Linked DNA regions of Struthio camelus. The protein of the gene in region 1 purifies or fractionates together with the protein of each later gene. This does not show direct contact. Links are inferred from orthologs where the notes say so. Each region holds a gene or a part of one and is shown in the gene's direction. Other genes may lie near its edges.

Region 1 (9,384 bases):
ACTTTGAACAGACATTTGTTACAGTCGTTTCCATTGCATGTTTTCATGCTTGCGTGCCTGCAAATGGCTGGGGCTGTTTTTCCAGACCATTTTATGATATGTTATGGACCCCCGCTGGCCTCTAGAGCGCAGGTTGCGGAACAGCGCTTTGGCTGTCAGACACTGCTGTCTTTCCCAAGAAGTGAAAACGGCCGCTGCAGCAGGCAACACCACCAGGTAGTTATTTCTCTTTTGCTGGAACCCCGTAAATAAATACCGTATAAACTGAAGGGTATTTTGAGGGGAACTGGACAAATTCATGGAAGAAAAATTCCCCTCTGGACGATGGTATGCGGGAACTCCAGCTCCAGCTCAGGAAATCCCTGGGCCGCAGCTCTCGGGAGGCTGGGGAATATCTGGGGGCGTTTGCACCGCTCGCTTGCCTGTTCCTACATCTGCTCCGGGCAGGCGGCCCCTGCAAGAGCTGAATGGCCCGAGGGCTTGTCTTGGGATGGCTCTTGCCGGTGAACCCTCCTTTGTGGGTAATGGGCATTTCTCTCGGAAAAGCCTGACAGAGCTGGGCAGCAGTACGTTTGCCGAATGTTGAACGTTTGCATGTGGTTCAAGAACCTCTGCAAAAAGTAATTTGAAATGTTTAAGCTTCTAGTGTGGTAAGCGTGTGAGCCTGACTGTGTGCGTGCAGCACCATCTACTGTATTACAGAGATTTTGGTTTTCCTCCTTCCCTGGAAGCGGGGCAGCGTGTGTGCTCAGCGCACATCTGTACCACAACTGCCATGCCCAGCACGGCGCGAGCCCGTGCCTTGGCGGAGGGCTGACTGGGAAGGCAAACGCTGCCTATGTTCACAGCAAGCGTACGAAATCCTTGGAGAGGGAGCGTACGCAATGAGGAGGGCACATTAAAATCTGACCGTACAGGCTTGCGGAGGTCCGGCTGCGACTCACACCTGTGAGCTGTCTGAAGCCCACGTGGGACTAAACATACTGCTTTCCTTGAACCCGCATTCAAGAATCGCTGTAAAACTCATGAAAAATACTTGTCGCGGGTTTGCAATAACTTCAGCGCTCTCCTCTCCCTCTGTCCGCTGGAGATACAGTACCAATGCCCTCTGCCGACATGAGAGGATATTGCCTCCCGGGATGTTGCCAGAAGAGATGGAAAGGCAACGCTTAGCTAAACCAAAGCGCCCTTTGGAGCCTTCTTCAGGATCTGTACCGTTATCCCCAGGGACCTGGGCAAGCTCCTGTCTGGGACTGAAATCACCTGGCCAGTATTTGGCTCCCGGATACCTGCTAAACACAAGCTCTCCCACCACCTATGAAGCCCCTTTTCACGGCAGGGTCCGATCTGGACGGAGCGGCTCTTTCACCAGAAGGAAGGGGTTTTTGCAGCCGGGGGGAGGGAAGCGGCCACGCGGCCAATTGACAACCTCCAGAGCTGCCCGCATGGCCAGAAAGCTCCCTGCACAAGGCGAGGCGGGTGGGGATCAGCCCCTCCATGATTGCCGGCCCGCGCAGCCCGGTCGCAAGGACGCAACGGTCCTGTCAGGTCGGAGCAATAACCCATCCGGCTCAGCAGCCTCTTTCCACCGGTGGCCGCCAGCAGGCGCCTAGAGAAGAGTTGAAGCAGATACGGAGCGATACCCCCTTGGGAGATTTTCTCAGGATGCCAAGATTGGTAACTCAAGATCTTCCTGAGCCACAGGCGCTGTCCTTCAGCGGAGGTCCTTGCTGCTGCGGGTATGCCTAATGCCGCCTTCCCCAGCCCGCGCCAGACGTTAGCCTCCACCACGTCCCACGGTAGCGCGCCCCACGCGTACGCGTCGCTCGTCTCAACCCGCCACCTGCGACCGCCGGGGAGCTCGCGGCGCTTGCAGCAGCCAGCGACCGCTCTGCCGGCCCTCTCCTCGCCGCCGGCGAGTCCCGCTGCCTCCTCCTCGGGCTGCCGAGCCCCGTACGGGCGCCCGCCGCGCCGCCGCACGTCCTCGCCGCCCTCGGCTAGGCCTTGCCCGCTCTGCCCTGTCCCCGAGGGGCGCAGAGCCGCCCGCCGCGACCGGCACGTGGTCAGGGCCCGGCACCGCAGCGCTGCCGTTCAACCCGTCAGCCCTGGTGCTGCTGCTGCCAGGGGGCCGCCAGCCTGCCGGAGGGGCAGAGCGGGGGCCGCGCGCCGCTCCTCTCGCCTGCGCGGGGGGGACGGCCCGTCCCGGCGACAGGAGGGTTTAACGGGGGGCGCGAGTCCTCGCTGTGACCCCCCTCTTCTCAGATTCGCTGTCTGCAGAGCGGCCGGCGGACACCTCCTCACCTTGGTTATTCGGGATGGCGGGGCGGCGGCGAGGGGCGGGTGAGGGTTACGGACAGGCCAGCCCGGGCCAGGGTCTGCCACTGTCGGGGTCGTCACTGGGGGCTGGGGGGCGCATACCTGAGGGGGACTTTTGCTTTTACGCGGAGGCCTCGAAGCCACCTCATCAGCATCTTCTGCGAACCGTAGGGACCGCGCCAGGCGGTTTTGTTTCGACCTTAAACCCTAACGCGTTATGATATCGTGTCTTCTTCGAGGAAGGACCGTGCACCATGTTTGAGTTCGACTCACCAGCTACAAGTCTATCGCTTATCGTCCTGCCTTCGGTTACCAGGGAGGAAAGCAGGCGGTCCCCGGCCGGGACGTCTCTTGCAGGACCGCGCGGCCGCCGGTGAGAGGCACCAGCTCCGCCGGGCGTCCGGGCGCAACCGGAGGGCTCACGAGGAGAACGGCAGAGGGCCACCAGACGGTTCGGCAGCCCCTCGGCCGGTGCTCTGCCTCTCCCTCCTCGCGCTCGGCCCCCCCGGTGAGTCCCACCGGCGCCCTGTGCTGGGCTGCAGCACCCGGGGTGCTCCTGTCCCCCCGGGGTGCTCCTGTCCCTCTGGGTGCTCCTGTCCCCCCCCAGGTGCTCCTGTACCCCCGGGGTGCTCCCGTTCCCCCCAGGTGCTCCTGTCCCTCTGGGTGCTCCTGTCCCCCTGGGTGCCCCTGTCCCCCCGGGGTGCTCCCGTCCCCCCCCGGGTGCTCCCGTCCCCCCCAGGTGCTCCTGTACCCCTGGGGTGCTCCCGTCCCCCCAGGTGCTCCCGTCCCCCCCAGGTGCTCCTGTACCCCCGGGGTGCTCCCATCCCCCCAGGTGCTCCCGTCCCCCCGGGGTGCTCCTGTCCCCCCGGGGTGCTCCCGTCCCCCACCCCCCCCCCGTGAAGCGTCGTGGTGACTCATCCTCCAGGCACAGGACCATCGGCCGGACCCATGGGTTCAGCCTCGAGGCGTTTCCCGCCTCGTCGCCTAGAGCATGAACTGCCAGGGGGGCAACCAGCGCGTTGCCCCAAGTTTGGGGCAAGCCCGGTTGGGGGGGGGGGGGCTCTTTCCAGAGGAGAGGTCACAGAAGCAGCTAAATCCTGTTGGCCCGCCGCGAGGTGCAGCCGCGAGGTGCAGCTCGTCCTCGGCCGCTCAGGCACCACCGCTCCCCAGGCCAGCGCAGGGGCAGCCCGGGCCCCCCCACCGCCCCCGGTCCCATGGGTGCAGCCCCAAAAGCGCTCCCGGGCGGGGGGCTCACCCGCACCCCCCCCCACACACACAGGCAAGCACACCACACACTCGCACACACGCTGACACGTGCACACCCCCCCACACACACGCATGCACACACAACACGCTCGCACATGCACGCCCCCTACACACGCGCACACAGCACACCCAACTCGCACACACGACACATGCCCGCTCACACAGACACAGGCGCACCCCCCCCACACATGCACACGCTCGCACGCGCAAACAACACGCGCAACACTCACGCGTGCACACTCCCTGCATGCAGGCAACCCCCCCACACGCGTGCACACCCCTACGCACACTCACTCATGCACACTCCGCACACACATGCACCCCGCCACACACACACTCCCCACGCACGCACACCCCCACACATGCACACACCTCCCCCACACGCACGCACCCCCATGCACAGTCCCACATGCACGCACACCCCCACACGCACCCCCATGCACTGTCACACACACACGCACACCCCCCCACATGCACACCCCCTACACATGCACACACCCCCCCCACATGCACACCCCCATGCACAGTCACACACACCCCCCCCACACGCACCCGCCCACTCCCACTCGCCCCCTCCCCCTTCCCCGCCGCCGCCACGTGACCCGCCGCCCCCCCGCCCCGCCCCCATTGATACAATGTAGCAAAGCGGAACGTTCGAGGCGCCACCAGGCGCGCCGAGTCGACGCCCGAGCGGTGGATCCGACTAGGCGGCGGAGGCGGGGAGGGGCGCTCGGCGCTCGGCTAGCGCACCCGGCGGGCGGAGGGACGGGCGGACGGACGGAGGGACGGGCGGACGGGCGCGGGTCGTGTCGGCGGGGGCGATGGCGGAGCCGGCGGAGAAGCTGTACCGGGCGGAGTACGCCAAGAGCGGCCGCGCCTCCTGCAAGAAGTGCGGCGAGAGCATCGCCAAGGACTCGCTGCGCCTCGCCCTCATGGTGCAGGTACCGCGTGGCGGGGCCGGGGCCGCGGGGCGGCGGCGGCTGAGCCTCTCTCCGCCCCGGATTTATCGGGGGGAGGGAGGGAGGGAGGGAGGGAGGATGAGTGCGGCGACTTGCGCGGCTCGCGGGGGCTGCCCGCGCTGCGCACCGCGCCTGCGGAAGGAGATAAAAATAAACACACAAAAAATAAACCAAAAACCCCCCACCCTTTCCCCGCCCCCCTTTTGGGGGCAGGCGGCGGCGCGCCCAGCTTCCCCCCCCCCCCCCAGCGCCGGGGGCGTGCGCGGCGGGCCGGAGGAAGAAAAACAGGGAGAAAAGGGGAAAGAGCAGCGTCAGCAGCCGTGGCGCCCACCCCCCTCCCCACCCGAAACCACCCGTCCTAACCGCCTGCTTGCAAGTCGTTGTCCCCCCCCCCCCCAAAAAAAAAAAAAACCCAAAACTGCTGGTTTCATGTGGTCCCTTCTGCCGCGGCTCCCTCTGCCTGCTCTGGGCCAGCAGCGCTCCTCGGACCGTGCTGCCCCTCTTCCCGCCCCCCGGGAAGCCCCTCTCGGCCCCTCCGTCAGCGCCTTGCGCTCCTGCTGCCGCGGAAGAAACCCGAGGCAGGCGGCAGCTCCCGCCGCGGCCCCCTCCTGCTGCAGCCGTCCTCGCCTTTGGGGGCTTTCCCCCCCAGGGAGCCCTGAGCCACGCCGGGGGGCCCGGCGCTTGGCGGGGTTGCTGGCACCCGGTGCCGCAGCCTCAGCTCTTGTCCAGCTTCTGCTTCCAGCTGGCACTTAGCAATTTGTGTTATCTGCACGTGTGACGAGAAAGCACTCCTGGCTCCCCTTTTTTCCCCGAAGCTTGTTTAGGAAACTGTGGTCTGGAGATAGGTGCGCTGGGAGAAGCTGAGTAAACAAGGTCGGGCTCGCCTGGAGGTTTTGTTTCCCAGGCGGAGTGCAGTTGTGCTCCAGGCGCTCGGCGGTAGGGGAGGGCTCCCCACCGCTCGCGAGGTTGTCCCCAAGGGTCTGTAAGCTCTACCCCCTCCTGTGCACCCCTGTGCCTTACCCCCCCCCTCCCCCCCCCAAAGCCTTCATGGGGGGAAAAGGCTGTGGCTTGACTCTGGTGCCACGAGGGGTCTACCACAAAAATGCTGGGTGCCTTTTCTGCAGCTAAGGGATGGCCAAGCTGTGGTGTCACGGGGGGTGCGTGAGGCTGCCCAGCACACCGAGAGCAACTCCCACGGGGCTGCTGTGCCCTGAGGTTACTGTGCCGTCCAAATCCCTGCTCACGGGAGGAGCCCGGCAGCTGGAAACGTGAATGCCCTTTCACGGTTTTGGCGGGAGGTTAGGTGGTCATCCAGGGCTCCTGGCTCTCCTAGTGCCATGCTGTGATCCTCAGAAGCCCTTTCCTCCTCCGTCCTGCTCGTGGGCAAAGCTTTGCTGTTGCGTTTGGTTCTCCTGTCCGTAAGTGGTACGCAGAAGGCTTTCCTAGTTCATTAATTCTGTATCTTTAGTAATAAAAATAATAGTACAGCACTGTGTGTTATTAATACAGCCATTGTTTGTGTACATCCCTCGGAGCCAAACCGCTAAGCCGTTATTTTGTCTGATTGGTAACCGGAACGATGTCGGGTTGGTACTTGATGTGTCTGAGTCATGACCGAGCAGCGCGCTTCCCCGGCGAGGCTGGTACAAGGCAGGGTGCTCTGGATTTGCTCTTTGGGGAAGGAGTTAGGTTGTGGTTCTGTCCTGATGCAGAACTTCTTTGGACTGTAATGTTGCTCTGAAGTTTTGCCTCTGCCTCCTGCAGCTCCCTAGGCAGGAGGCTGTAGTGGATAAATCCCCCGGAAAACAGCGCTTGGCTTATCCACTGTCTTTGTTTCGATTGCTCATCCCTGCCGATGGCCTGATTCTCATTGAGAAGAAACCTCTCCTTGTCTGCTCAGGGTTGGTATAGCCCTGCTGAGGCTACAACCTTTTTTTTTTTCGAGTAATGTGGAAGGGCTAAACAATAGGGTGACAAACTGCTTAAGCTGGGTAGACTCTCTTTCTGCATGTATCCCCTTTGAGTCCTCTCCCCAGGCACCTCGTCTGTCACGTTGGATTTTCTTCCTAGGCTTTGTCCTAAATTGCAGATATCTTTTTAATTGGAAAAAAAAAATTACTTGTGTTTACCCAGATATTTCAATTTTTATCTCCCTTCCCCCCCCCTCACCCTCCCCATGATGCTGTCTGACTGGCTTCATCTTGGCCTAATTTTACTTTCTTCCTAGTCGCCCATGTTTGATGGCAAAGTCCCTCACTGGCATCACTACAGCTGCTTCTGGAAGCGGGCTCGAATTGTGTCCCATACGGACATCGATGGCTTCCCTGAGCTCCGATGGGAAGATCAGGAGAAAATCAAGAAAGCCATTGAAACTGGAGGACCTGGAGGAGGTAAGCAGAGGTGGTGTTGTGATGAGGCCAAGCAGGTGTTCAGAGGTTCAACAGGAAGCGTGCTTTCTGTTGTCAAGCTATTGACAGATTACAGTTAGGTGATTACCCTGTCCCTTCAGGAAGTGAGGTGGGCAGAATTGCCATGGTGACGGCGCACCGCAGACTAGGAAGCTGGCAATATGGTCTAGCCTCTGAAACCAGCAAGGGAAAAACAAGGCAGTTGGCAGATGCATTGACAGATATTCTTGTTTTCATGCCTGGTGTATTTTGGTTTCAGTTCCTTAACGTTAACAAATGCTTTTGTAGTGTGTCGTTTTAACGATACCTTCACTGTAGCACATGGCTATCGTGGCTCTTCCGTATTGTTGCCCGGCGAACTAATGAATCAGGGAAGCGAGTGGGAAGGAGCTGGGTACAGAGCGGACTAAATCCACCCAATCTTTATATAAACTGAGCATACTGGGCAGTTTTAGATTGATGTCTGCCTGTTGAAATGTAGTAATACTAAAGTAAAAGGAAACTGGCACTTGGTAAGAGGAGTTCTGTTTTGAAGCATGGCTATTTGTGACTGCTGTTACAGTCAATTCTTCAGTAAGATCTCATTTCATACTACTTAGAAAAGAGGTCAGCTCTGGGTACCTTGGAAAGTCCTCAAAAATCCTTTGAGCAGCCCTCAGCAATTGCTACTTGCTTAAACTCTTCATGCTTTAAAAGTGCTTTTGAGCATGGACTGATTATTTTACTCTGTATTCACATTCTTGACAGGTGGTTTGCTGGAACACAGGGATTTATTAATCCAGACTGCTAACAATCTGGGACAGAGAATAATAATAACTTTACAAAAAGGCCTTTTAAAGCCAAACTCTGTATTTGCCTTTGCCCTCTAGGAAAAGGAGGGGACCAGGAAGTAGGTGGCAAGGCTGAGAAAAGCCTAAATGACTTTGCTGCAGAATATGCCAAGTCTAACAGAAGTACTTGCAAAGGCTGCGAACAGAAAATAGAAAAGGTGAGGAGCTTTTCCTCGTTCTCCGACTTTTGTCTTTTCTCCCGCTGCTCCCAGTTCAAACAGTGACTTTTATAATTGCTTCCTGCCTGCCTTGCCTATGGAAGGCACTTGCAGAGTTGCACTTCTGTGTGTAAAGAGCAGCTGTGTCCTGGACAGCTGGCAATAAAGGCATCCCTCAGGCTGGAGCCTGGGTTTTGGACCTGCTGATATGGGGGTGTTTTGTTTGTTTGTTTGGGTTTTTTGTTTTGCTTGGGCCTGGGACCAGACTGCAGCGCTGCTCACCAGCGTTTCTGTGGCAAGAAGACCACCACAAACTACCTTTTGCTTGTTGGAGCATGTCAAAGGTGTCAGCCTCTTCCTCCTCCTCCTCAAGACGAGTTCTGTTCGTGTGCAGTGTTTCTGTATTACCTCGGTGCAGGCATACAAAACTAGTGATGCAGCTCATTAACACCGTGTCCTGCCCTATAGCTGAGCATGTCTCAGCGCTCTGCTTTTAAACAACATTGGCAAAATGAGATTCTGAGCCTCTCTGTACTGATGGATGTGAACGGCCCTCACCTGTGCAGGTCTAAACACCGGTTCTGGTGTGTTCCTGTCCGCAGAAACATTGCAACTGCTGAATAGACATACCTGTACTGGAGCGTGAAGGACTGGAGTCTAAAAACACCTAAAACAAGTAGTTATCGGAATCTGAAAAGTACTTTGCAGTAAGATGAGACGGGAAGTTCACAGCTCTTTGGATCTTGGTAGTGCTGATGCTCAGCGTTAGGGACGTAAAGCTAGCTTTTGGAGTTCCCTGCTTAGAGTTTGGTCACGTGAGCTTTGCTTGTTCAACTTTACTGGGAGTCAGGGAGTTGAGTGAGTGAAGACTGCAAGGAGTTTACCTGTTGGAGGGGTTTATTGAGCAGAAAACTACTTAAAAGGCTGGATTCTCAACTTTACCAAAGTTGAGAATCTCTTTCAAATTGAAGTATATATGGAAAAATTCAATCCAGAAGAAATATTCAAGAAAGCAGAGGAGCTTAAGTGACGGGGCTTTAATAAAAGTTACAGCTGTAGATAGAGGAAACATTGCTGTTCTGCAGCTGTTCAGGAATTACTTTATTTGTGATGAGCTTATTAACATCTTGTTCTTCCTAGGGCAACCTAACGATTGCTCTTGTGTCACTTTAACCTGCCTCAGGGCCAGATCCGAATTTCCAAGAAGATGGTGCATCCTGAAAAGCCGCAGCTGGGAATGATAGATAACTGGTACCACCCGGACTGTTTCGTGAGCCGCCGAGCAGAGTTGGGCTTCCTCCCGACGTACGGGGCCGCTCAGCTCTTGGGCTTCGGGATCTTGAAAGCTGAAGATAAAGAAACTCTGAAGAAGCAGCTTCCAGCTACCAAGAGCGAAGGGTACGTAGGGAGTATGAGAGAGCGTTACCTAAAGGTACTATTACTTGTC
Region 2 (9,936 bases), on another chromosome or scaffold:
GCGGCACTGCCCGTCCCCGCGACAACAGGAAGGAAGCACCAGTACGGAAAAGCACTCTGCGCTACGGGTCTATGAGCACGGGGAAGGGGCGAGGAGCACGGCCCCTTCGCTTACCCGTTACCCAAACACGGCGGAGTAGGGGCGAACACGGTGACCGGCACTGCGCGGGTGCGCGCCGGCTGGCTGCAGTATTCTCCGTATGCCGGCGAGGGCAGTGGCGGCTGCAGAACTGGCGTGTCGACACCGGGGGGCAGCAGGGAGCAGGGGAAACCCAGCGCGCATGCGAACGCCTTACCGCTGCAGTACCAAATTTTGGCCAGCCGAGGGCACCAACGAGCCACGCCGAAACCACTGCGCATGCGGCCCGCCTCGGCTGCAGTACCGATGTTTCGCCAGCCGAGGGCGGCAACGCGCGACGCCGAAACCACTGCGCATGCGGCCCGCTTCGGCTGCAGTACCGATATCTGGCCAGCCGAGGGCACCAACGAGCCACGCCGAAACCACTGCGCCTGCGGCCCGCCTCGGCTGCAGTACCGATGTTTCGCCAGCTGAGGGCACCAACGAGCCACGCCGAAACCACTGCGCCTGCGCCCCGCTTCGCCTGCAGTACCGATTTCTGGCCAGCCGAGGGCACCAACGAGCCACCCCGAAACCACTGCGCATGCGCCCCGCTTCGCCTGCAGTACCGATTTCTGGCCAGCCGAGGGCGGCAACGAGCCACGCCGAAACCCACTGCGCATGCGGCCCGCTTCGGCTGCAGTACCGATGTTTCGCCAGCCGAGGGCGGCAACGCGCGACGCCGAAACCACTGCGCATGCGGCCCGCTTCGGCTGCAGTACCGATGTTTCGCCAGCTGAGGGCGGCAACGAGCCACACCGAAACCACTGCGCCTGCGCCCCGCTTCGCCTGCAGTACCGATTTCTGGCCAGCCGAGGGCACCAACGAGCCACCCCGAAACCACTGCGCATGCGGCCCGCTTCGGCTGCAGTACCGATTTCTGGCCATCCGAGGGCACCAACGAGCCACGCCGAAACCCACTGCGCATGCGGCCCGCTTCGGCTGCAGTACCGATGTTTCGCCAGCCGAGGGCGGCAACGCGCGACGCCGAAACCACTGCGCCTGCGCCCCGCTTCGCCTGCAGTACCGATTTCTGGCCAGCCGAGGGCACCAACGAGCCACCCCGAAACCACTGCGCATGCGCCCCGCTTCGCCTGCAGTACCGATTTCTGGCCAGCCGAGGGCACCAACGAGCCACGCCGAAACCACTGCGCATGCGCCCCGCCTCGGCTGCAGTACCGATGTTTCGCCAGCCGAGGGCGGCAACGCGCGACGCCGAAACCCACTGCGCATGCGGCCCGCTTCGCCTGCAGTACCGATTTCTGGCCAGCCGAGGGCGGCAACGAGCCACGCCGAAACCACTGCGCATGCGCCCCGCTTCGCCTGCAGTACCGATTCTTCGGGCTGCAGTACCGATTTTTTGCCAGCCGAGGGCACCAACGAGCCATGCCGAAACCACTGCGCCTGCGGCCCGCCTCGGCTGCAGTACCGATGTTTCGCCAGCCGAGGGCGGCAACGAGCCACGCCGAAACCACTGCGCCTGCGCCCCGCTTCGCCTGCAGTACCGATTTCTGGCCAGCCGAGGGCACCAACGAGCCACGCCGAAACCACTGCGCCTGCGCCCCGCTTCGCCTGCAGTACCGATTTTTCGCCAGCCGAGGGCAACAACGAGCCACGCCGAAACCACTGCGCCTGCGCCCCGCTTCGCCTGCAGTACCGATTCTTCGGGCTGCAGTACCGATTTTTTGCCAGCCGAGGGCACCAACGAGCCATGCCGAAACCCACTGCGCCTGCGGCCCGCCTCGGCTGCAGTACCGATTTCTGGCCAGCCGAGGGCACCAACGAGCCACCCCGAAACCACTGCGCCTGCGCCCCGCTTCGCCTGCAGTACCGATTTCTGGCCAGCCGAGGGCGGCAACGAGCCACGCCGAAACCACTGCGCCTGCGCCCCGCTTCGCCTGCAGTACCGATTTCAGGCCAGCGGAGGGCGGCAACGAGCCACCCCGAAACCACTGCGCATGCGGCCCGCTTCGGCTGCAGTACCGATGTTTCGCCAGCCGAGGGCGGTCACGAGCGATGCCGAAACCACTGCGCATGCGGCCCGCCTCGGCTGCAGTACCGATGTTTCGCCAGCCGAGGGCGGCAACGAGCCACGCCGAAACCACTGCGCCTGCGCCCCGCTTCGCCTGCAGTACCGATTTCTGGCCAGCCGAGGGCGGCAACGAGCCACGCCGAAACCACTGCGCATGCGGCCCGCCTCGGCTGCAGTACCGATGTTTCGCCAGCCGAGGGCGGCAACGCGCGACGCCGAAACCACTGCGCATGCGGCCCGCTTCGGCTGCAGTACCGATGTTTCGCCAGCCGAGGGCGGTCACGAGCGATGCCGAAACCACTGCGCATGCGGCCCGCTTCGGCTGCAGTACCGATGTTTCGCCAGCCGAGGGCACCAACGAGCCACGCCGAAACCACTGCGCATGCGGCCCGCTTCGGCTGCAGTACCGATATTTCGCCACCCGAGGGCAGTCATGAGCACTGCCTAACAACTGCGCATGCGCGGCTGGTCGGCAGCAGTACAGATGTTTCGCCAGCCGGGGGCAGCAACGAGGACTGCTGAACAACAGCGCATGCGCCGCTCTCCGGCTGCAGTACTGCTTTTTGACCAGCCGAGGGCAGCAAGGAGCGCTGCTTGTTGCAGTATTGGTATTTCATCGCTTGAGGGGCACGATGGAGCCCATGCGCCCCGGGACGCACGCATTCCTCGACTGGCTGCACTGTTGGGGGTGTCATCACCCGAGGGCAGCACTGAGCACAGCTGGGTCAATGTGCATACGTCAATCTCCTTGCTGCAGCACTGGTCTGTAGTCTCCTGAGGGCAGCGGAGAGCAGACCGGTGCTGCTGCGCATGCGCGAGCAAACCGGTGCTATACTGACTATACCGACTTTTCACCACCCGAGGGCAGCAGTGAGCAACTCGTAGCGGATGCGCATGCGTGACTCCGCTGGCTGCAGTACCGAACTGCTCCCACCCGAGGGCAGCAGGAGTTGCTCTGCCGCAGTGCGCATGCGCAACCCCGCTAGCGAGGGTCCCTCCCCGCACTGCCGGCCCCTCCAGTTGGGCTGCCTCGACCCTTTCGTACCCTCCCCGCTGGGCACCTCTGTCCTGCAGGAGGAGACGGTGGTGGGGACCTCACGAGCCCCCCGTGTCCCGGCGGCGGTGCAGCACCGGGGCACAGCAGCACCGAGGGGTGGCGGCAGTGGCCGGGGTGCCCCGGCGAGCAGGCGGAGCAGTCCTCGGGCGGCGGGGTGCACCGGGTGGCTGCAGTCAAGGCCCAGGGCAAGGTCCTCACCCGGGGTGGGCCTCGTCCTCATTGGTTTATGGCAAGCGTGCTTACAGCCGCTTGTGTCTGGTTGGGGAAAACAGCCCTTGTTCCAGCTCTGCTCCTGACTCCTTTCCAGTAACTCCCATTGCGGTCTGCTGTTACCAGAAAAGTGATGGATACACTGCTATAAGAACTGCAACCCTCTCACTCAGGATTGATGGGAAGGATCCTTTATTTCCTTTATTAAAGCTTTACAGTTTTAACCTTTCTTCTGTCAGCTTCTTATTTCCCCAGTTTACAGTACCTGTATATCGATCCTGGGTGTTAGAGAAGGGAATTGTAGCCAACTTTGCCTCAGCAGAGCAGAAGTCTGATTCTTGCTTAGCCTAAGTGTCTAAAGTAGGTGAAACCTGCAGGCCGCAGGACTGAACTGTAACCCAAAGAACGTTGCTGACGACGCCACTGCAACATCAGCTAGAACCAGCCCTCAAGGATACAGACCAGAATGAACAGAGATAACGGCTGACCTTCGGATAAGATAGGGTACCGTAGAGCAGGAACATAGCAACCATCTGGCAACCATCCTGGGATGTAGACATGAACCAGTCAGAGGGAAAGAGACCACTGAAGAAGATTGGAAGAGACTTTCACTGGCAGGTGGGGAAATAAAACTGTAAAAAGGAAAATTACTTAAGAATTCTTTTGTTCTGGGTGCCTCCCTGGATGCACCCAGCTCGAGCTGTTACTTTGTTATACTGTTATTTAAATAAATAATTAATTTAGCTGCTGTACATGCGTGAGACTTCACTCCTCAGAAACCTAGGGCTGAACTGTTCCCACAACACTGGGGTTGCACTAATTGTGCCCTGTACACAAATTAACCTTAAATCATGCCCTATCCAGTCATACTTAAGGCTCTGATACCTCACTCTCACGCCTCTTCTTCTGTAGCTCTGCCCACCACAGCATCCTCCATGTAGGATAATACCTTTTCTATATTCTCTACAGGAAACTGTTCTAACGTCTCTCTGACAATAAGTACGTGTTATCGCAGGTGCATTGTGAAACCCCAGCTAGACCTGAGGAAAGGTATATTGTTTGTCTCTACATGTGAAAGAGAATCCGTAAATTCATTTTTCTTTAGTAAGGGGAATGACCAAGAAGCAGCTCTGTAACTGACAGACACTTGTTGTCATCTTGTCACTTACCGACAACCTTGGGCACACGAGGTACACAGGAGCTATCCTCCCTGGGACACCATGCAAAAATCCTGCTCGTGGGCCGGCCTGCCTCCCCACACCTCCAGGCCATCTACATCTACATCAGCGAGGGCACACACACAAGCCTGCTTTGGGGAGGAACCTCAACCCTAAAACCAAGATTTAAAGAGTCAAGTACTCATTCCAGGTACACCCTACCGTGTGCACTCATCGAGCAGAGCACTGCCAGGCCCCTGAAACCCCCCACCCTTTCCTCCCCTCCACCCATGCCTTCAGGTGGGCAGGAGAAATCCCGGCACTCGTAGCCACTCCAGGGACGCCCCCACCTCTCTGCCACGTTCCCGCACCGGGCTCTGCCAGCCTCCCCGCACCCCCAGGCTGTATCCGCGGGGGCGAGCGCACGCCTCGGCCCGCGCTGGGGAGGAACCGGGGCCCGAAAGGCGAGGCACGGGAAAAAGAAAGTCAAACCCGCGCTCCTGCTGTGGAGCCCCTCTGCTCTCCGCCTCCACGCAGCGACGGTCCTGGCGGGCAGGAAACATCCCAGGGCCCGCGGCCACCCGAAGGGACGCGCTCGCTTCACCGGGACCGGCGGCCCGCCCCCGCCGCTTCCGAGGGTAAGCGCGGCTCTGCTCGCCGCCATGCTGCTCCTGGGCACCGCGCATGCGCCGCCTCAGAGCGCGCCAGCGGCGGGGTGAGCGGCAGCGGGGCCGCTACCTCGAAGAGCGCCCTCCAGCGAGCCGGCTGGCTGCAGCCCGGCGCACTGCGCCCGATTGCGCATGCGCGGTATTGATAGCGGCTTTAACCGGTTGCTAGGAGAGCGGCACCGACCACGGCGAGAGCTCACTGCGCATGCGTACGCCGCCTGGCTACAGCCCCGCGTTGTGACGAAGCGCAGGTAGCAGGGACAGCGGTGCTGCAGTGCGCATGCGTGAGCCGCTCACCCAGTTTTTCCCCCTTGTAATCAAGAGAGGCGAGCAGCGGATTTCCCCGCACGAGTAGTTGCCGTGACCGTGTTGCTGCTTCCCGGTACTCACACATAGTCCCGAACGCACGGAGGCTGCACAGACCGCTGTCGAGACACGAGGCGGCACCAACGGGCAGAAACCCGCTGTGCCGTCGGCCGGGGAGCACCGAGAAGGGGCGGGAGCGCGGCCGGTTGCCGCAGCAGTACGAGCAACCGTGGAGCTCGGGCGGTCACGGCGGGCTGCAGTGCGCACGCGTCTCTGGCTGGTGCCGCGCCGAGGCGGGCGGCGAGCAGCAGGGGCCACGGTTTCTGACGTCACTGGCGACGCTCCGCCCTGGGGCAGGAGTACGCATGCGCATTGAAGGCGGCCGTGCTTTGCTGAGGTCACTGCCGGAAGCGCCGCGTTGCGGTATCCGGTTCTCCCCCCGCCGGCCGCTCTGGTCTCCCGCGGCCGGGTCCGCGAGCGTCCGGGATGAGCAAGCGGAAGGCCCCGCAGGAGAGCCCCAACGAGGGCATCACGGACTTTCTCACCGGTGGGTGATGACCGGGGCGTACGGGACTACGGCGGGGTTGGCTTGCTCTAACGGTGTCTTCCCCTGTAGAGCTGGCGAACTACGAGCGGAACGTGAACCGTGCTATTCACAAGTACAACGCATACAGGTATCGCGGCCCGCCCCCGCGCCGGGGCCTTCCCCGCGCCGGGGCCCGCTCCCCCCCCCCCCACCTCACTGCCTGTTCCCGGGATCCGGCCCACTCACCTGCGCCCCCCTGTCGCGTCGGAGGGGGGCACTGCTCCCCCCGACGGAGGTGGCAGTGCTGCTGCCTGGTTCAGTCGCTGACTGGTGCTGTTTTGCAGAAAAGCAGCCTCTGTGATTTCCCGGTATCCCAGCAAGATCCAGAGTGGGGCTGAGGCCAAGAAGCTGGTAGGTGCCTGTACCATGGTGGTAGGGCCTCAGGTTGGCAGGGGCTATGATGCCAGGGGCTCCTGGAAGGGGCAGGAGCAGCACGGGATCAACCCTGCCTGTGACAGCTCTGCTGCCCTTCCCCTTTCCAGTGATGTCTGGGTCAGGGCTCAGAGGTGGGCGTGGGGTTGGCTGCAGTGGGGAGTGCTGTAGAGGTTTCATGGCCGGAACTGCAGGCACCCGGTCCATCTGGCTGCAGCCCTACTTGTAAAAGGCTGCCGTTGGGGAAAAATTCCCCTTTATTCTGTTACTGCCCTGCTAACCTTTGGGCCTTTAGTTGTAAGAGTCAAAGCCTGGTTTCAAACAATTGCTTTCAGGAGACTTTTAATACAGCCCTTCATTTATGATGGTTGATGCAGCTTGCGTTTTACCATGGAGTACTGCACTACTTCATGATCTCAATGACCTCCTAATTCTTACTGGACTCTAAATTCTGTGTTGTAACTTCTATTGTTGGGTGTTTTTTTTTTTCTTAGCTATAGTGGCTATAAATGATTTGGAAGTTAACTTCTTGTTCTCCCCACCCCTTCTTCTTCCAATATTTAGGATGGAGTAGGTGCTAAAATAGCTGAGAAGATAGATGAGTTTTTATCCACTGGAAAACTACGCAAATTGGAAAAGGTGGGCTTCTTTCCTGTGCACTATACTTCACAATAGTTGCTTTTCTTTGCACTTTGCAAAGTAGCCTATTTACTTTGTGAAACTTTGGGGATTATCTTTGGCGAAACTGATGTCAAACCTGAGAATGGTGGATAGGGAATTTATGGGGAGTAGAAATTGGGGAACAAGAAGCTCAGCTGAAGCCTCAAAACTACCTGTTCCTGAAAAAATTTTGGATAATATCATCAGCATATGAACGTCTTCACAGTCTTCCGGATCCAGACTTCCATTTCTCAGAGGAGTTTTGAGTTTTAAATGTGCTGTTTACCTTAGCATAGGTAGTTAGGGCAGAGGGTTTTCAGGCTTGGTATCTATGGCGTTGCCATGGTGCACAATATTACTCTTCGTTCTGCTTTGCTTTGATTTATAGTAAGCCTCCAAAACAGAATCTGAATGGGCAGTATTATCTTCTCAAGTTTTTTGTCTTTATTGCAAGTGGAGTGCAGAAGGGTTTGGTCTGTGTTCTTTCATTTTTCCAGATTCGTCAAGATGATACAAGTGCATCTATCAACTTTCTGACCCGAGTTACTGGCATCGGGTAAAGCTTTCTCTTTGCCCCCCTTTCTCCCGCTTGCTCGCTCTTTGCACCTGCTTTTGGGGAAGAAAGGGCAACCGTTCACTTAAGTATGGTGCTAATGACAAACTCTCCAGCCAAACTGGAGTTTGGACTGCTTTGCTGTACTGTAGGCTGCAGGCCGGAGCCTCATTTCTTAAGTGCTGGTTCAAATACAATCCTGTTGCTGTGGCTACAATTTGGCTCAAAGACTGATTATGTTTAAAGTAGTCCTTATCATGCATGCGATTAGATCCCAGTGTTGTTGGCTAAAGCAATATTCCTTATTTGGTGAGGGTGTTTTTTTCTTTCTTTTTTCTTTAAACAATTGTATAGCACTATATAGTTGTATCAATACTAAAAATGTGCAGCCCAAGCCTTGGATACCCATCTCTGCTAACTGAAAGTACAGACTACAGATATGTGTGCCAAGTGTACGGCAAGCATCAGAAGTGACTTTCGTCTTGGTCTTGAAGAAGCTAGAGGATTATAATGAATTCTAATGTTCTATTCAGTGTTACGAGATTCTTACTGTTTCTGATTGCAAATTGGTCTCTTTGCAGTCCTGCTGCTGCTAGGAAGTTTGTAGAGGAAGGAATTAAGACTTTAGAGGGTGAGTGTATGTCATATGCTGTCTTTGGGTCCTCAGTTCACACTGCAGTATCACTTCTTCTGTCCAGCTGCCTGTCTCAGAGTGGTACTGTGATAGCAATTACATCTAGTTTTTGATGAAAGCGCTTTAAAAAAATAAAGTTATTGCACAGAGTGAACGCATTATACCTTCCAGAGTAAGATGCTTACAGACTTCACAGAAAACAACATGGATTTTGTCACACAGACGAATGGCCTGTTGAAGTCAGGCTTTATCAGACAGTGCCGCGTGCATTTTGACTTACGCTGTCAGCTGTTGACCAGGCTGCCATTAAAATGTTTTAGTTGGTCTGTGAGGTAGCTGTTTTGTTGCACGTTCTTCACTTGCGTCATCTTTGTACTGTAGAAATCTTACCATAAAACTTTTAATACTTGAATTTTTTTTTAATATTATTCTAGATCTAAGAAAAAATGAACACAAGCTGAACCATCACCAGCGAATTGGGTTGAAGTAGGTTTTCTTGGATGCAAGTTCTTGGCTTTTCTAATGACTCCTTTCAACACTAGGATGTAATGTAAGATTACAGCGGCCAAGTAAGGTTCTGTCTGTGTGCTCTACATGCTTTTCAGAAGTTCAGAGTTTTCGTTTCATTGGAGTTGAAATTCATAGGCTTAATCTCCATCTAGAAGGGAATTATTTCCAAATGACTTTTCAGTTGGCTCATGGAGAAACACTTTAGCAAGGTTACATCAGCAATCTGTTTTGGAAAGAGCCTGCTATCTCAACACAGTGCTACGGAAGTGCCCTGAGGCGTTTTTGTCACGCTTTGTGCAAGGTAGAGCTTTTGCGATGTCTGAACTTGAGAAAGCCATGCAGAGCGTGTGCTTTTCTCTCTGGACTTACTAGTTCGATTGTCGCTTGCCAAGTGACTGCTCCACTGTGCTGGTCCTGGAAGGACTATAGCTGGGTTTGCAAGAAGCTGCAAGTGAATCAACTAAACCCTCATATAATCTGGTTGGTTCTGCCAGCTCATATATCTGGTTGGGGCCAGCTCTAGTGTTTCTGCGTCAGTGGCAGAGATGCAGAATCCGTGACCTGGACAAACTTACACCAGTGAGTAACAAGGGCTATGCAGTGATTGTCATTTTCCTGCTCTTTATCTGATAGAGTCCTGTTCTGGTGTGCATCCCTGTCTTTATAGACATGTAGCATTTAAGGAAAAACTTTTTTCATTGTTAAGCGAGCATGAGATAACCCAGCTGATCTCTCCAGGATCCCTACATGTTGTTAGTGCCCTTCAGCCTGCTCCTGGAATTGTACTCAGGTCTTGTTTCAGAGCCACCCGAAAGTACTGAGCTGTAAGAATGGTTTTAGTGCTGTATGGTCTTTTTGTCCCTAGTTGTGCTGCAACTTGCCTGAAAAAAAGCAGTTAACTTGTCCCATATGCAGAACCCTTGTCTGTAGTGCTTGAAACTGGACTGGCTGGATCATGACTGTCAGTGGATATGTAGCGCTCCCAGGCCGCAGTGCTGCTGCCAGGGCTTCCTGTCAATGGTTCTGGTGTTGGTCAGGCAGGCGGTACACCATTGTTTCAGTTGGCCTCTTTTC
Region 3 (9,488 bases), on another chromosome or scaffold:
CGGGGGGGGGCACACAGGCAGATACGATTTTATCCGGCAGTCCTGTCAAGAGGTAGCAGGACCAGGTGCAAAGACCAGCTTTCCAGGAAACCACATCCATCAGAAAGCAGTTCCATTTTTAGCATCTCACTCTGACTGCAACCAAAATTAGCTGTTTCATTATTTTGCCTCAGATGAACAACACATTACTACCACGCTGCCCTTGGGCCTGTGTCACCCCTGTTTCAGCTCTTTCCTAACGTTTTTCGAGCTTTGTTTATGCGGTGTTACCTTCTTGGTGAACTCGTCGTTTTTTGCGCCCAGATCCCACAGCCTGAGGGTGTCGACAGGCTCCGGCCGGGCTGCTGCAGCCCCACGGCAAAGGCCAGCAAACACACTGCCTGCTCTAGGGCACTGTGGAGTTCCTCCCTCTGCAGCTCACTGTTGCAAACCCTGACGTAGGGTCCTGTTAATACTATTTTTTTTTTAAACATCTTACTGTCTTTGAAAAGCTGCTGCTCTTGCTGCATGTTTGGTGGATAACCAAGTGCAGGCCAGCTTATTAAACTGGTACATATGTCATTGCATGACCTGTTCAGCGGTTGGACAGCTGCTCACAGGGGAGCAAAATAGGTTTTCCTGGCAAGCACTAAGCTTTCAGCATGTCACTTGAAAAAAAAAAAAACAGAATTTACTGGAGCTCAAGATGCAGCTCTAGTTCCCAGCTTCTAATCTGCAGGTACAAAAACCAGCAGGTGAGGCTTATTGTCCACAATACGCAGCTGTCAGATGGTGCAGCATCAGGAGGAGCCGGTGCGGGAGCAGGGCCTGAAACGTTCGCTCTTGGACATGGAGTGTTAATGGCACAGCAGCCCGAGCCGGCTGAGGCCAGGTGCTTTCTGTCCCTTTGGGAAGCATGCTGTTCCCCGAAGGTCTCCCTAGCCCTCATGAGCATTTAGCTAATGACAAAGTGTTTAGCTGACGACCATGCAAGGCAGCTGGCCCCAGCGCAATCGCTGGCTTCTGCTTGTTGCGCAGAGCAAGGCAGCGGTGTCTCCAGGAGTTTGGGAAAGCAGCTTTAGCAAACCTGCCTTCGTCCAGCACAGCACCACCACCACATCCTCCGCTCTTGTGGCTTATTAGTTGTGTTCGCTGCTTCCCCTCAGCTGGGTGTAGACACTGTTGCTGGAGGGCAGCAGTCTCTGGGAAACAGGGAAATCTTTCAGGCCTGGCAACAGCCCTCCAGGCACCAGTGGGGCTGAGCACTGCTCCTCCCTCACCGGGGCCGTGGCACCTGCTTCGCTCCCACCCGCCCCGCAACCAACCACGACAGACCTGTCCCCTTCAGCGTGCAGCAGGACTGAGCCACGACGACTCTGCTGTTTGTTTTTATTAGAGGCAGGCGACGCTGCCCTTTGCTGCAGTGTCTTGGGAGACAAGCCGGAACGCTAAGGCCGTGCCCTGCAGGCTAACACCCCCGTCGCAGCACGCTGGGTCTGGCGGACAGCTCAGGTGCGAGGCCTTGTGAAACGCGACTATTGTTGTCCCCAGTCACTGGCTGCTCTTCACACATCCACAGAAACTTAAAAGGAAAGGCCCAGCCCCTTGTCCTGGGCAGCTGCCTTTAGAACAGTTCGAGGAAATGTCTCATCCTCCCAGAGCTTCAGGCACGGGACAGTAATGTGCGTAACAACCTGGGCGACGGCCCTTCCCTCACAGTGCAGGTGGGAGAAGGCCTTGGCCTGCCATTCATCTCCTTTTTACAAACTTCTTTGTCACAGCATTGGGGTTCAGGCGCCTCCTGCCAGCACCGAGGGCAGCGTCTCGGATTTGCAGATTGGCTGCACGGCTGTAGATGTCGTTTTCTGCAAAGGGAGACACCCCTGCAATGTAGTCGGGGTCAAAGACGTTGGTCTTTTGCCTAGCTTTCCGGGACAGCCGCTGCTGTGGGAAGGGCTGGTCTTCTACCAAGTGAGGGTTGTTCGCGTGCTTCCCACCCTGCGGAGCCGGCAGCGGATACTGCGAAGAGAGCAGAAGTTGTTACACTCACTTCAGGGACAACTCTCCCTCAGAGGGGCTTCAACATTCGACAAGTGGCCTAGCCTCAAGCAAAGAACTTGGTGAAAGAAGCCTGAAAGCCTCTGGGTTATGCGGAAGGTCTAGAGGACGACTGCAGCTCTGCCTTGACTCTCGCCCATCAGTGGGTCCCACCCGCTCACCGGCAGCGGCAAGGAAAGCCCTTGTTCCAGCAGCAGCCGGCTGGCGCGTCGCGCACGGCTACTCACCCTGAGCCCTCGTGGGTTCAGCACCTTGGGGTTGCGGGAGAAATGCATGTGGAGGCTCCCGTCGTCACTCACGCTCACTGCGACCTTCTTCAGAGTCTTGTTACCACAGTGAGGACAGAAAACCTTGGTCATGTCGGAAGTTGTCCTGCAGGACAGTGACAGAGGTATTCCACAGCCCAGGGAGCAGTAAACCCAGGCTTAGCCCACACGAGCAGGTTCATCCAGCCACGTGAGCCAGGTCAAAGCCCTGAGCCACTTTAAAAGGCCAGAGGAGCCCTGAAGGGCTCCTGCTAGGGAGGAGCAGCACTTCTCTGCGCACACAGCACTTACTTGAAGCAGCCGTGGCAGCGGAGGATGTGGCTCCTGGCCTGGCGGATCAGCATGCCATTCACTGCCAGCACGTGGAGCCCCATCTGCAGCAGCACGTTCTGCAATGAGGAGGGAGAAACAGGGCACCATGAGGTGGGACTGCCAAACTGTTTAGCCCAGGGCTGACTGTCCAGGTGGCAAGAGGCCACCAGAAGCAAAGCAAACAGGCTCTGCAGAGGCTTCTGCTGTAGACAAAACCAGCTGTTTTTAACAAAAAGAGAGCTGTCACGAAGCTGCTCTCATCCTGTTCCAGGGATTCAGCAGTGCACTCCTCTGTGGCAAGTGTCAGCGTGCTGCTTTAGCCAGCCCAGGGGTGTGAGCAATCCAGGAATCTGCTCCTCAGGCCACCGGTGCCAGCCCCCTTCAACCACCCATCTCAGCAGGGGAGGTGCAGCACCAACAGGGCATCGGCCGAGCTCGAGGCTGCAGCCTGCCCCTGCACGGCAGCCACCAGCACCCACCTGCATGGCGAAGTCAGTGGTGACGCAGCCGACCTGCACGCCAGCGGGAGTGGTGTCACAGTGCCCCGTGTCCTGCTGAACCTGCTTAATGTTGCTGGGCGTTATCCAGCCTTCGTCGTCGCTCTCTTCCTCGTCTTCCTCTTCCTCAGCGCTGTCCCCGTTCTCTGGACTCTGGTGCTCCTCAGCCGCCTCTGGGCTAACGGAGACGGCGTGAGCGTTCTGGGGGGGCAGAGACAACTCAGCCAAGGCCCACAGCGCGCCCCCAGCACCAGCCTGCTTGAGGAGAGCTGTCTGGCAGAGGATTTGGGAAAAGCCAGCTGGAAAAGGGGAGAGAAAGCACAGAGAGGGGCACGGACGCTCCGAGTCTCACCAGCAGCTCCTGCAAGTCCTCCTCGATGCTGGGCAGGGGGTTTCTCCAGAAGAGGAAGGAGCTGAACTCGGGGCTCTCAGCCGTGCTCCTTTCGGGGCTGGGCAGACGCTGGCCTTTTCTCAGGTGCTTGTGCTGCAGCGCAACACAGGACAGGGTGTCCCTCGCCTGCAGCCTGCCCAGGGACTCTGCAGGGCTTCGTCCCTGTCCCCTGGAGGGTCCCGGCCCCTGCCCGCACCTCGGAGGGCTGCATCCCTCTCCCCAGCCCTCACCCCAGAGGAACGTGTCCCCTGCCCGTACCTCGAAGGACTACATCCCTGTCCCCAGCCCTCACCCCAGAGGGTCGTGTCGCCATCCCTTACCTTGGAGGGCAGGTGGAAGCCAGCGAGGTGCAGGGGGGCCTCGGGGTGCTGCGGGGTCGAGCTGAGCTGCACCTGGGGAGGGAGCGTGGCGGGTTGGCAGGGCTAGAGCTTGCCACGGCAGCGGGGCCCAGCCCCACAGGCAGCCCTGTGTCTGTCCCTACCTTGTCCTCGGGCTCCCGCCGGAGCCGGTCAGAGCCGACGATCTCCGCCTCCAGCTGGTAGGTGAGGGCGAGCACTTGGAGGTCAGTGGCCGAGAGGCTTGGGTAGTCGCCGGTCTTCTTGGCGAAGTCGGTCACTGCGGAGAGACGGCCGGGGTGGCGGCGGGGGCCGGGCCGGGCCAGGGGGGGACCGGGTCAGGTCAGAACCAGGCTGGGGCAGTGGGAGGAGGTAGGGACTGGGACCAGGTTGGGAGACTGGTCAGGGAGGGGTGGGAGACACTGGGATCCAGGCTGGGGGTGGGGGGGAGGCAAATCAGGGCTGAGACACTGGGGCCAGGGCTGGGGGGTGGTGGGGGGGAACGAGAAACAAAGGGACCGCAGACGGGGAAGGGGGGGGCGACACCAGGGCCGGGGCTCACCGAGCCGCACGTAGTCGGGCCGCGGGCGGCGGAAGTGCAGCTCGTAGGGCAGCGCGGCCAGGCGCCGCCGCGTCGGCTTGTCGCGGATCTCAGCCACCACCTCGGGCACGGTGTACACGCTCTGCGCCATCTCCTGCCGGCGCAGCGCCGTCAGTCCCGCTCCGCCCCGCTCCCCCCGGCCCGGCCCGGCCCCGCCGCCCGCCCCGCTCCCCCCGGCCCGGCCCGGCCCCGCCCGGCCCCGCCGCCCGCCCCGCTCCCCCCGGCCCGGCCCGGCCCGGCCCCGCCGCCCGCCCCGCTCCCCCCGGCCCGGCCCGGCCCGGCCCCGCCGCCCGCCCCGCTCCCCCCGGCCCGGCCCGGCCCCGCCGCCCGCCCCGCTCCCCCCGGCCCGGCCCGGCCCCGCCGCCCGCCCCGCTCCCCCCGGCCCGGCCCGGCCCGGCCCGGCCCCGCCGCCCGCCCCGCTCCCCCCGGCCCGGCCCGGCCCCGCCCGGCCCCGCCGCCCGCCCCGCTCCCCCCGGCCCGGCCCGGCCCCGCCGCCCGCTCCCCGCGGCCCGACCCCGCCGCCCGCCCGGCCCCGCCGCCCCGCTCCCCCCGGCCCGGCCCGGCCCCGCCGCCCGCCCCGCTCCCCCCGGCCCGGCCCGGCCCCGCCGCCCGCCCCGCTCCCCCCGGCCCGGCCCGGCCCGGCCCCGCCGCCCCGCTCCCCCCGGCCCGGCCCGGCCCCGCCGCCCGCCCCGCTCCCCCCAGCCCGGCCCGGCCCCGCCGCCCGCCCCGCTCCCCCCGGCCCGGCCCGGCCCGGCCCCGCCGCCCCGCTCCCCCCGGCCCGGCCCGGCCCCGCCGCCCGCCCCGCTCCCCCCGGCCCGGCCCCGCCGCCCGCCCGGTACCTGCAGCGGCGCCGCGCGCAGAAAGGCGCCGGCGTCGGCCACGACGTGCGCCACGCGCGCCATGACAGCCGCCGCCGCCGCTACTGACCCCTACGGCGCCCCGTACCGCGCCGCGTCGCGCCGCCCCCTGGGAGCTGTAGTCCGCGCGGGGCACGCCGGGAGCCGCCGGCCCGCGTGACCCTCTTCCGGGCCGCGCGGGTCAGGTGACGAGCGCGGGTCACATGACGGCGGTGCCTAGAGCCGGAAGTGGGAGCGCAGCGGCCGCCGGTAACGGGGGTGGCGGGACGGCACCGCGGGCGGAGGGGGGGGGGAAAGACGCGTCCGCCCGGCGCTGCCGCCGCGCAGCTCGGCCCGGCGCTGCCCGCGGCGCTCCGCCGAGCGTGGCTCGGCTCGGGGCGGCCCGCTCCGGTGCTCTCCCGGCCCGGTGCCCCGGTGCCGCGGCCGCTGGCGGGCAGGGCCGCGCGCTGCGCTGCGCCCCGGGCCGCGGGGAGGGGCCCGGCCGCGCGTCCGGCCTCCCCGGGGGGCCGGTCGGGGCTCACCGGCGGGGCCCCGGTGCCCGCGGAGGCGGCTGAGGGTGCCGGTACCGGTACCGGAGCCGGTGCCGCCCCGCGGTGCAGCGGGGCCAGCGGTGTCCGGGGGAAGCGCGCGGGGAAAAGCTCCCGACGTGCTTCAGGGAGGGCGCGAGAGGAGACGGGGGGCGCCGGGGCCGAGCGGAGGGGAGCTGGACGCGGAAGGGAGACGGGAGCGAGGGGCGGTGCACGAGCCGGGAAGGAGAAAGTGGGGGAAAGAGTCGAGATTAAAACAAAAAAAAAAAAAAAAGGGGGGGGGAGAGAAAGGGAAAAAGAAGAAGGAGGCATAGCCCAAACGGGCGGCGGGTTTGTCGTCGCCATATGTGGGCGATGGCCTGGGGGCTCCGGCCGTCGGCCCTGCGCGCTCCGGCGTGGCGACAGCACCGGCTGGCGAGGGGCGATCCCTGCGCGGGAGGTGAAACTGCAAGCGGTTAACGCTGCCAGATTGCCCTCCTGAACTCTGGCGGAGTTCAGCTCGGGGCGAGCTGGCGCCGGGACGGGCTGGCGTGGGGTGGGGGGGGGGGGAGAGCAGAAACAGGGCCTGTGTTTATGGGGGGAGGAATGGGGATCCAGATTCCTGCTAGAGGGGAATGAGCCCTGGGTAATAGTAACTTTGAGGGCCAGACCGCTAATATTAATGTAAGAAATGCCCTACAGGGCAGGCTCGCAGGTCCCTCTAGCCCCGTATCTGGTTGCAGGCGGTGGCTGTTTGGGAAGGGCACATGAGTCTGGCTGGTTTTTGTGGTCCTTGCGAACGGCACTAATGAAATAAGCTGGTAATGCAGAGGTGGGGACTCGCAGCAAACACGAGGAATAACGATATCCTAAGGGAAGGACAGGGTGATCTGTGGGCAGAGTAATTGGAGTAGGAATAACTGTAATAATAGCAAATGCAATTAGCTTCATAAAAAGACCTCCTTCCACAAGTAAATTCTTATCCGTTGGGAGTGAGGGGGAAGGGACAGGCATGCATTAGCAAGCCTTGACCCACCAATCTGACAGAGCCAAGAAAGCGGCAAGTCTGATATCAGAGCTTTCCCAGGCAGAAACGGGGACTGTGCAAGGCCCTGGCGAGGCCTCAGCTGGCGTACGGTGTGCCGTTCTGGTTTGCCGTGCTCAGGAAGGCGATTTCCTGCTGGGGTGGCACACAGAAGGGGATGGAGAGTGACGACTCGGTTCTACTACAAAAGGAGGTTTAAAAGGGACTGGTCAGGCTTTGAGGTGGAGCCTGCTAAGGTAGAGCAAGGGCCTGGGTTTGGTGGCCTGGCCGACTCCGCTAGCCCCAAGGGGTTGTGGGTTGTGCTGTGGTGGTTTCTCCAGCAGGAAGGCAACGCTTGGAGAGCCTTTGCAACGTGGAGGGGGCGATGGCTGGGCGCGGAGTGGACGGGGAAGGAAAGACTCCTGTGCAGCAGAGAAGCTGGCAGAGAGCTGGAAGTGGAAATGTGCTGTCTTTCCCCTTTTTGTACTTTTTCCTGAGGGCTCGTGATCATCAGGGTGGAGGTAGGATGGAGAGGCTGGCGGGGACTCGAATCCAGAGCTGGTCAGGAGGCGTGCTTTCGGCTTCGCAGGGTTGGGAGGGCGATCGGGTTTGACTCAGTCTGAGCTCTCACTGCTGCCCCAGGCAACAGAATTGAGACTCTTGTGTTCACATCTGCCCGGGGAATAACCAGCGAGCGCCTCCATCCGTCCTGTTGTGTCGGGTGTTTATGTGGGCAGGCCCCTGTGGTCTGTGACCTTGGAATTTACTGCAGGCGCCGCTTCTCTGCCACAGGATTGTGTTAGTCTGGATTCAGCAGGTCCCCTCTAGCTCTTCTGCCTGTGAAGTGCGTAAAGGATGACTGCTGTCTGCAGGCTCAGGAAGATGGTGGGAATCAATAGCCTACTCTCTTGGGCCCAAACCAAACAACTCGTGCTTGTGCATGCTGCATGACTGTACTTCTGCTTTGTTGTCGGTTGTTTCGGCAGAGGCGCAGCCACGTGTTCTGCTGCGTCCCTGGCCATCCCAAGTCCCCTTCCTGCCCAGCCACGCGCTGCCCGCTCCCAGCCCCGGGCAGGCGTCTCAGAGGCGAGGTGCGCAGGTGGTGCAGGGGCAGGGTGAAGCGCTGCGGCTGCAGTGACAGTCATTGTGCCCGAGAAAGTGAGGAAGTGGTGAGTGCTTGAGAAGCTGGAGGCCCCAGTTTCCTGTGCTGCAGCGTGATCCTTTGCAGCAGTTGAGAGCAGCTGTGGTTCCCATCGCTTAGCTGCTGCGCTGCAGGGTTTTAGGTTTTTTTTTTCTGTGAAATTTTGCCACCAGGAAATGACCTGGCCTGTCCTCAAGGGATGTGGCTACTTTCCCATAGTGTGACCGGAGCTTCCTCTCTTCTACCGCAGTGTTCCTGACTTGTTCCTTCCAAAGGATGCATTGGCTGAGGCCGCGCAGACTGCTTGTGGACCCGTATTGTTACTCAGCAGCACGGGGTGGACGTCATATCTTCCTAGTGCTTTGGAGACTGCTCTGTCTTCGTGCTGGTCGTGATCAGCAATGACCTTTGGATCGTGGGGAGCTAGAGCTGCTCCAATGCAGTGCCCAGAGAGCACCTGTGGGGTGCTGTCCCCAAGGGCTCCCCCTGGCTGGCCCGGCTCTCTTGAGGCCTCGTGGGTGCTGTTGAGAGAGGGGTTTCTCTCTGCAGGGCACAGCTTTACTTCCATCTGTGGTACACAGTTAACGTTTAACAGGAGCGAGAGGCAACGTGTGTTTATTAGCTATTTGCATGTGTGCCAAGGGTGTCCCAGGCGGTCTGCGAGGCCTTCTGAGCTGGAGTCGGTGTGGCGCTGACGTGGCAGCAAAGCCTTTGGATGCGCCCGGGAGGAACTGGCCCCCTCCCGCTGCCCTGTGAGCAACAGGCAGCACCGAGGGCATCTGCAAACCTTCTCAGTGCGGCACCTCCCAGCATGGGCCGCCGCTGTTCATCGCTGAACCCCGTGCCGTCTGTGTCGCTCATCCTAATACGTGGGCCACAGCGAGGCCCGGAGCAGCCCTGACCCTGGGGCCCCACGCAGCCTCGACTTCCTCCCTTCGATGGCGGAGGTGCTGAGGTGTCTCATGTCTCTCTGCTTTCCAGCCCGTCGGTGATGCCATGGCCTCTGCGAGTTCCAGCAGGGCCAGGGCAGGGCTGCCCTGCGAGAAGTCCCAGCTCTCCGTGAAAGGTGGGTCCTGCTGCATCGCTGGAGGTGGGGCCGGGAGCCCAGCGTCCGGGAATGTGGATTTTCGAGTGCATCTGGTCCTGGATTCCTCCGTGCTGGCCTCGGCAGCCAGCAGCTCCTGAAGGGAGGAGATGTTCCCGGGCCTGTGCTCTCCCTGGGTGTGGGAGACCTTCCTGGGGAGGGACTGGGTGCTGGGGAAAGCCAGCACCACCTCTGCAGTCGGATGCTCCATCCTGATGGAGAAATAGTGAGCTTCCTGGGGTCCGAGGAACCGGCAGCCCTTATCAGCACGTGGATCACAGCCCTGGGCACGTGGCAGCTGGGGCAGGGTCTCCGACCTTGGAAGAGGTTTATCTAGGGAAATGGCATTCCAGCTGCCCATCCTGGCCTCATGCTGAGGGTAGTGCCGGAGCCACCGAGGGTGACAGAGGAAGGACACCGTGATCTTGGCCTTCTTC

The links.
Region 2: the proteins of PARP1 (region 1) and POLB purify together in Homo sapiens (affinity purification with mass spectrometry; 4 studies listed by BioGRID and IntAct, counting the BioPlex papers as one, with this or other methods). This does not show direct contact. The link is inferred for Struthio camelus from reciprocal best matches to the Homo sapiens genes PARP1 and POLB.
Region 3: the proteins of PARP1 (region 1) and WWP2 purify together in Homo sapiens (affinity purification with western blotting; 3 studies listed by BioGRID, with this or other methods). This does not show direct contact. The link is inferred for Struthio camelus from reciprocal best matches to the Homo sapiens genes PARP1 and WWP2.

Annotation. Positions count from the first base shown.
Region 1 is NC_090944.1:125,658,273-125,667,656, forward strand, and holds the start of PARP1 (poly [ADP-ribose] polymerase 1), read left to right. Parts: upstream 1-4,208; 5' UTR 4,209-4,403; coding exon 4,404-4,523; intron 4,524-6,768; coding exon 6,769-6,931; intron 6,932-7,818; coding exon 7,819-7,937; intron 7,938-9,120; coding exon 9,121-9,335; intron 9,336-9,384. UniProt on the Homo sapiens protein: Poly-ADP-ribosyltransferase that mediates poly-ADP-ribosylation of proteins and plays a key role in DNA repair.
Region 2 is NC_090968.1:7,953,350-7,963,285, reverse strand, and holds the start of POLB (DNA polymerase beta), read left to right. Parts: upstream 1-5,904; 5' UTR 5,905-6,033; coding exon 6,034-6,094; intron 6,095-6,163; coding exon 6,164-6,221; intron 6,222-6,417; coding exon 6,418-6,484; intron 6,485-7,069; coding exon 7,070-7,144; intron 7,145-7,662; coding exon 7,663-7,721; intron 7,722-8,299; coding exon 8,300-8,349; intron 8,350-8,786; coding exon 8,787-8,838; intron 8,839-9,936. Other genes in the region: uncharacterized protein, read right to left, coding at 115-1,426.
Region 3 is NC_090951.1:1,474,316-1,483,803, reverse strand, and holds the start of WWP2 (NEDD4-like E3 ubiquitin-protein ligase WWP2), read left to right. Parts: upstream 1-5,456; 5' UTR 5,457-5,545; intron 5,546-6,115; exon of another isoform or gene 6,116-6,262; intron 6,263-8,948; 5' UTR 8,949-8,963; coding exon 8,964-9,033; intron 9,034-9,488. Other genes in the region: RNA-binding protein NOB1, read right to left, coding at 1,729-1,998, 2,265-2,409, 2,595-2,692, 3,095-3,313, 3,465-3,596, 3,824-3,895, 3,985-4,118, 4,401-4,533 and 1 more. UniProt on the Homo sapiens protein: E3 ubiquitin-protein ligase which accepts ubiquitin from an E2 ubiquitin-conjugating enzyme in the form of a thioester and then directly transfers the ubiquitin to targeted substrates.